2 linked regions of the Caenorhabditis elegans genome follow. The protein of the gene in region 1 purifies or fractionates together with the protein of each later gene. This does not show direct contact. Each region holds a gene or a part of one and is shown on either strand. Other genes may lie near its edges.

Region 1 (4,016 bases):
TATTGAATGAGTTCTTGTGGGATTCTAAAGATTACCTAGTGCTTTAAAAATTACCACGGTACCTAAATAGTGAAAATGATTTTTTGTTTATTTATACTTTTTCTGAAATCGGAGAAGCAAACGAAATAATAATTTATAACACTTCTGGCTTTCAGTTTTTTAATTGACCGAAGCTGAACGTTTTGTCTTCAGTAAAATTAAACTTTGTGGGTTTAGCTTTTGAGAGGATTTATGTTTCGTAACAAAAAGAACGAGATTCTTTCGATTTTCGGAGAATGTTCTGGAAGTTTTTTATGTCTGCTTTTGATTCATTTTGTGCAATTTTCTAGTTGAAGGTTGATTAGTGGTGAAGTCAGGCTTATTTTTTTTATTTTACAGGATCTCACTGCCAGGCAGCCACCGATTCAACCACAAGTTCCAAACGCATCCGATAACCTGCAAGTTCCACCAAATTTGGAATACTTGATAGCAGTGGTAATACTGATTCTAAAAATATAACAACTTTTCCAAATTTTATTTTTCAGAATCCCAGTCAACTGATCACCACTATTCAAATTGGAGCAGAAGTAGCACGACTAGAAGAATTGGAAGATGAATATCGGCAGGAGCTGGAACTAATTAGAATGACAGAATCACTTGGAGAGGAACTCTTACAAAAAGAAAACGAACTCAGAAGTCGAGCTGGATATCTTGGAAGGCTAGATGTTCTTGAAAATCGGAGAAACTACGAAGACGAGGCTGCCGAAAATTTGGCTATCCGAACTGTGCAAAACCGAGTGCTTCTACTGAGAAGGGCGCGGGCCGAACTGTATGAAAGGGAACGAATCGCCCGAAAAACCTTTATTTGGAGATTGAGAAGATTTAAAAATCCAACAGATCAAAGTGTTAATACTTGGATGGAAACTCTGAATGATCGGTTGAACCGTGTCGCAAATTCCTGGGAAAGACGACGGGAGCCGCATGAACAAGCGATTCGAGACTATGAGCGTTTAGTAGCTACTCGACAACGTACCGAAGAAGATCGTCGCAGGGAACGTGCATCAAATCGGGCCGGTCCTTCGAACCAAGAAGATTACGATTCTGAGGATGAAGATGAACATCATGTCGATGAATTACCAGATCTTCTTGAGCTTCTGAGTCTTGTGGTCAACCCTGTTATAGGTGGCGGAGGAATATCAACTAATCGTGCAGAATATTTAAATCCGCGTGGAACAGAAGGCTTGGGTGCTGATGATCCTGATTTGAACGATAGTGGAGGAACTGTGTATCAGAGTGACGAAGAGGAATCAGAGGATGAAGCAGAGATTGATCATCAGGAAGGTCCATCGAATTGGAGGCCCAAGCGACCACGTCGTGATGATGATGAAGGAGGATCGGGAAGCAGCGCAAGCATGTGGAATGCTCCATCCACATCTTCCCAGGCTCTTGGAAGAAGTTGCTAAAATAATGATGAACTCAAGTTGATACTAATTTATTTTAAATCTTTATTTTATAATCCAGTCTGTTTATTTTTTAATATCAATTTTCTTTGATGTATCTTATTTATTTTATTTCATTTCAGGTAAATATTGATTAAATATTGATTACGACCTTTATTTTCGATAGCAATTTTGACAAAAAACGATAAAAAATGATATGAAATTTTTTGATCTACAATGTACGCATGTTTTAATGTTTTTTGTAACGCGGGAGGGGGTTCCCCTCGAATATTCATAAGACCGTTGTTGTTTGACCTACAATTGTCCCGGAAAAATTACCGGTGTCCTTTTCCGAATATTCTTCCTTTCCCTCGCTATAATCGATTGTTTTGGTCAGTTATATTTTTTTTCTATTTTAATTTGACAATTTTCAGTTTTCCCTCTTTTAACTTCGTTTTAAGTTTTAAACAAAATTTGTAAATTTTCAGATTACATCTCAAATCGCTACTAACTGTAAGAGATGAATGTGTCTGGAGAGTCTGCAGCTGATATCGAAGAGGTAAGATTGAATTTTCCTGTTTCAAAAATTAAATTAAGCATTAACATGAATGTTTAGAAGACAAATGGTGAACCAACTCAAGGAAAAGAACAAGAACAAGATGAGCCAGCGGAAGAGCAAAGTGGACGGCAGTCAAATGCAGAAGATGGTTCAGAAGAGGTATGAACAATTTGAAAAAAAATCCAATAAATTCATAAGTCCTATGTTTAAAACATTTCAGCCAAACGTCGGAGGGTCAGAACATCTTCGAGAGCAATTAGTAGATCGTCCAGTGGCCACAGGAGGTCCGCAGCTAAATGTGGACGATTTACAAGACTTGGATGAGGTATAACTAAGCTGGAATTTCAGATAATTGTTAGTAAACCATTTAATTTTACAGACTTTGGATGTCAGACGACATGCAGCCCAACCAACATTGCCACAAGTAGCCAATGGTCAGCCGGAGCGTCAAAATGTGGAGCAACCTCGGGGAGGAGAGGTATAAATTATTGCAACATTAAAAACATAATAAAATCATATTTTCTTTTTCAGAACCCGTATGAACACCGATTATTAAACCAAGTTGAAATTGATGTATATACCCAAGGGCAACAAAGCATGATTGATTCTAACGAAGAACATCAGAGAGCTGAACAAAACAAGATCAATCAGGCGAACTTACTAATCGAAAAATGTGAGCAAAGCAATCAACTAATGCAACGCCAAACAGAAGAAGTACAAAGGGGAGACTATCCTGCTCCTCCTGGAAGTCAAGAGCGCAACGAAACACAGGGTCGTTTTAATCAGCGGCTTCTAGAAATTAGTCCACGCTCACGTAGACTAAGAGAAAACTTAGTAACCTCGTATAACACAGAAAACGAAGCTCGAACAGAGTTCAATCAAAATCTGAGAGACCAGGCCAATCCAACATTTGGAAATGTCGGTCGAATGTTACTCGCTTTAAACGAATCGAACAGGCAACGCAGTGATGAACGGACTCGCATATCACGAGATCTTCAACAAATTGAGCAAGAAGTAAGAGAAATTGCCGCGCCTCAAGCGGTTGCCAATCAACGATATCGTAGGGCAAATGCTCCTGATAATCTAAGACGAGATCAACCATCACCAGCAGAAGACCCGGAAGGTCTCGGTGCTTTAATGACCCCCGATGAAGGTGAAAATCTAGAAGAAAATAGTAGTGACAACTATGAGGACGAAGAGGATGATGAATATGCTGATGATCATCAAGAAGGGCCATCCAATCGAGGATACAAGCGGCCACGCCGTGACAGTGACGGAGACGATTCGGGAAGTTATGCTACAAAACGACCATATGACTATCTCTCTAAACTTTAAGTTAATATACTGCCATAATCGTGAAATATGTTAATTTATTAGTTTATTGATTATTTTAACTTTCAAAGTTATTCTGTATTTTCCCACTGTTTGCTTTTTGTCAATATTTCTCAAATTTAACCAAATATTTTTGAATAAATTCAACTTAAAATAAACCATAGATATTTTTTTAAAAATTAGAATTATCACTTTATAAAATTATCTTAAATTAATTAAAATAATTATCTCTAAATGGAGTAAGTTATGATATGACATTGATTCAACTTTATTGGTTGGATAATTCAAACAGATATTGAAAAGTTCAATTTATTTTGCTTTCATTCCACACAGCGCAAAAAATTTCGGGTAGTTTTCGATCATGGAGCAGCTGAAATTACTTCAATCAATATTTTTGTTCAATTATTGGAAAATGCAAGTTCCAGTTGCGTATTCTGAAATTGTATTATTAATAGCCACATACTCTACGTCATCAATTTTTCCATGGGAATCGGAAGATGTGTCTGGCAAAATGTACATCTGTAGACAATATTCGCCACCCAATCCATTTGGTTCACCGGTATTCCATTTGTAGCCGCTTTTGTAGTGAAGTGTATCATCTTGGAATTCATAATCCTAAAAAAGTTGAATAAGTTTAACAATTTACAATGCTCTAATTTCAGCCATAAAACTCTTCATATCCAACGCAGAAACTTGAAATTTTGAAA
Region 2 (3,947 bases), on another chromosome or scaffold:
ACAGACTACAGATTAATATTAGCTACAAGTTGTAAGTTGACAACTTTGTTCTAGCTCAACCCAGAAAAAAGTTACGACGGCCGACACCTTGCGGGCCATTTTTGGCGTTCTTGGCCCGTGAGACGTCGGTTGCCATAACTATTTTCTGGGTTGAGCTTAGCAAAACTTGTCAACTGGCAAATTGTAGCTAATATTATTCTGTACATATTTGCAGTCGACAATTGTCTGCCAAACCTTCTAGTTTCAGAGTTATGCTAGTTTTACTATTCTCCACCGAAAAAAAAAAGTTACGACTTTCAGAGAAACCATCAAAACAAGCTTTCAATCCCTAATTCGCCAGGATTGGTCCCTGGAAGAGAACTGGTTCGGCTCAGGCGTCTTCTTTTTGAGACACCTATTCAATGTGGATCCAGGACGGCGGAAAGTGTATTTAAAGGCGCATTATCATATTATTTAATTTATTAAAATCGTTTTTAAAGTCCCACAATGTTTTATTTCTATTAAAAATCATGATTTTGCCAAATTTATGTGGAAAAATGCCAAAAAAGCAGCAGTGGTCTGCTAAATATCATTTTGTAGTTTGTAGTCTAGCAGACCAAATTTTATTAGAAACTGGTTGGGACTGTTAAATATTTTTTGTAGTTTGTAGTCTAGCAGACCCAAATTTTTAGAAATTCGTTGGTCTGCTAATGTTTTTTTTGTAGTTTGTAGTCTAGCAGACCAAAATTTATCAGAAATTGGATTGGTCTGCTAAACATCATTTTGTAGTTTGTAGCCTAGCAGACCCATATCTTCTGCATTGCAACTCCACGAAAAATGTAGTTTGTAGTCATCTGTAAGCCTTCATTACTCTGAAAATCGCTTTTTACACAAATTTGACAAGAAAATTAAAAGTGCGAATAAAAATTAGTAGATCAAATTAGTACTTTTCGATAGATTTCTCTGATTTTTCCGATTTCTCGCCGAGTTTCGCAGAGCTTTGCCATTTTGCACGCTCCCCCTCTTCTTCGGCATATTGCTCGTGTTTTTGCTGAAAATCTCTCTTAGAGGTCTCCTTCGGCGTGCTCGAATCGATCGGAAGTCCACAATAATGATCGGTGACCTGAAAAATAACGTTTTTAATGCGAAAATCGATTTAAAAAGGTGCATACATTCGAGGAATCCGTGTTGAAGGACATATCGGTCGACGAGACGCTGACTGTTGACACGTGGCGAACTGGGAGCCCGTTGCGGAGCTCTTTGATCACTTTTTCCTGAAAAAATTGAATTAATCATGCTTAAACGCTCGAAAATAGCCAACTTTTTGTCTTCTGGTCTCTTCGAGCTCCATTTCCAAGAGGAAAGCCTTCTCTTCGAGGCGGTGCAGGTTCACTTCGAGACTTCGACGCTTTTTGGCTGCACGATCACCTGAAAAAGGGTAATTTTGAAGAAATTTAGGTCAAAAAAGCTTTATTTTAAGCGAAAATTGCCTATTTTTCAATGAAAAACGCTCTGGTCTGCTAAATATTCTTTGTAGTTTGTAGCCTGGCAGACCCACTGAATTTCGAGTTTTCTGGCGGTTTTTCATTGATATTAAAGTCCGGTTATTTGGAAAATGTTAGTTTTAGTGATTTTAAGGTGTTTTTAACTTAGTTAAAAGTCTAAAATCATTTAATTTGAGCGAAAATCGACTAAATTTCAAAGAAAGGACCGATTTTTATACGAATTTTAGCAAAAAAAAATGGAAAAAATCATTTAAAACTATCAATTTTGCACTTAAAATTAAGATTAAGTATAAAAATTAAATAAAAATTGCGAAAATGCATGTTTTAATAGGATTTTCCCGATAATGGTCTGCTAAATCGAATTGTGTAGTTTGTAGTCTAGCAGACCAAATCTCTTCACAATCCTATTGGTCTGCTAAATCGAACCTTGTAGTTTGTAGTGTAGCAGACCAAATGGAAAAATCTGATTTTTGGGGTTTTTAAGGTAAAACTCACGTTCAGAGCCGAGAATTGATGTCAGGAACTTCATTTTTGCGTCGCGGGAGCTTGCTGAAACAAATTTGAATGAACGGAAACGAGAAAACTGAGAGAAAATGGAGAACGAAACGAAAAGAATTAATTAAAATGATGGATAGCTTTGTGTGTGTGTGTGTGCGTATCGGTCCAAAAACAAGCCTATAAATTCAGTGAATTCGCATCTTTTTTCGCTTTTCTTTCTAGAAATAAATTCCAGCTGAATCGGCGAGAGGGAGAGAAGAAGAAACTACAGAATTTAAAATTCATCAGAGAATTCGAAAGAGTTTGTGATGAAAAGAAAACAAAAAATAACATTGGAAATTTCATGAATATTTGATGAAAATTCGTAGAAAACTGGAAAATTGATTTTTTGGAGGGAAATAATTTGAAATTCAAAGTTTGGCGGCAGCAGGCAGGTTGCGTACTTTTGCGTACTTGGCCTTTTAATTGACGAGCAATAAGGGGTACTGTAGGAACTTTTAAATTTGATTTTTAACATGTTTTTTCATAAAAAATTGTTTTTTAGCTCTAAAAATTTAGAAATATGATCGTTTCAAAGTTAAAAAAACATTTTAGACTTTATTTTCAAAAATTTATTTCGAAAACAGACGTTAAACACGTCTTAATCTGTGTTTTTCCCTGAAAAATGTCCCAAAACTCTGCAGTTTTTCATTTTAAATCCTTTTTTTGTGTTCTAATCTGTCATTTCCCTTGTTTTCCCCGTTTTCCACTCAATTTCTGCTTTTGAAACTCCGCCGAAAGCAGGCAAACGACACTCCGAAATCCCGCAGTAACGTGTTGTTTATCGTAAATCGACAGAGACACTCTATTTTATTTTTTGTTGATTTTAGCCTTAAATCTCGAGTTTTCAATGATTTTTTCTAGTTTTTGAATGTAATTTTGTGAAATTTAAATGAAAAACTGAATATTTGTCATTTCTAGTGTATAAATTGGTTTTCAAAATTGGTTTTAGCTTGAAAAATTGATTTTTGGGAGCAAAATACTAATAAATTCTATTTGCAGAGATGGAGACAGACGGAGATGTGCTCCCAATGTCGAACGCCTTCAAATTATTGGTAAATCCCAAAAAAATCGATTTTCAAGCAAAAAAATTGTTATATTTTTCAGTGCGAAGACACCGCTCCAAAATCCAACAAAAAACTCATCGAAAAGCAGCGTCAAATCGCTCAAAAAATAAAAAATGTGCTGGAAACCTCGAAGAATGGCCCGAAAATTCAGGTTTTCCCTTTAATTAGTGAAATTTTAGGCCAAAATTTGAATTTTCAGTACAAAAATCTCGATTTCTGGACAGAATTCGACGTTAAACATCCTCTGCATCATCTTCAAAAGGCTGTGGATGCCACGTCGTCGAGTATTCCGGAATTTCAGTGGACACCGCCGAAAAGCATCGTTATCACTGAAAAAGGGCAACAAATTTTCATTGAAATTCCGCCAAAAGCTCTCGGAAATCGCGATTTTCTCAATTTGACCTACGCGGCGAAGCGGGGACATTTCGCGTGCCACGTGGCGCGGCTTCTGAGCGGAAAATTCGAAAAAGTCGAGTTCACAGCCGGTGGAGCCCACAGAGATGACCCAATTTTCGCGGATATTCTTGTCGATGGAGTTCGAATTGGATTTTACTGCCCGGAGCTTGCGAAAACCAAGAGATTTGCTCCAAATATCGGAAATTTGAGGCCCGCCACCATTTTTGAGGATCTTTTTAAAGGTTTTTGTCTTTCTTTTGCAGGAAAAAGTGTAGTTTGTAGTCTAGAAACCTAATTTTTTTTCCAGAAACCGAAATCGCTACGCCAAAATTCAATCAACGAATGTTGTGGTCAATTCTCGAGTTGGAAATTGCTCAAGAGATGGAAAAGGAGCTTAAAGTACCCTTTTAAGCCAATTTTCCCCATTTAAAAGCTTAATTTCAGGCCCAAAAGACCGCCCGTC

The links.
Region 2: the proteins of C50E3.12 (region 1) and Y51H7C.3 fractionate together in Caenorhabditis elegans (co-fractionation; one large-scale study listed by BioGRID). This does not show direct contact.

What each region holds. Positions count from the first base shown.
Region 1 is NC_003283.11:7,619,952-7,623,967, reverse strand, and holds C50E3.12 (uncharacterized protein), read left to right. Parts: upstream 1-1,906; 5' UTR 1,907-1,938; coding exon 1,939-1,977; intron 1,978-2,034; coding exon 2,035-2,136; intron 2,137-2,197; coding exon 2,198-2,302; intron 2,303-2,356; coding exon 2,357-2,455; intron 2,456-2,508; coding exon 2,509-3,312; 3' UTR 3,313-3,464; downstream 3,465-4,016. Other genes in the region: C50E3.13 (uncharacterized protein), read left to right, coding at 379-474, 525-1,442; C50E3.15 (C-type lectin domain-containing protein), read right to left, coding at 3,619-3,679, 3,773-3,924.
Region 2 is NC_003280.10:1,436,576-1,440,522, reverse strand, and holds Y51H7C.3 (Lzipper-MIP1 domain-containing protein), read right to left. Parts: upstream 2,034-3,947; 5' UTR 2,014-2,033; coding exon 1,980-2,013; intron 1,408-1,979; coding exon 1,301-1,407; intron 1,254-1,300; coding exon 1,152-1,253; intron 1,103-1,151; coding exon 920-1,102; 3' UTR 826-919; downstream 1-825. Other genes in the region: Y51H7C.12 (Nucleotide-diphospho-sugar transferase domain-containing protein), read left to right, coding at 301-457; nol-6 (Nucleolar protein 6), read left to right, coding at 3,026-3,076, 3,129-3,239, 3,288-3,726, 3,792-3,883, 3,929-3,947.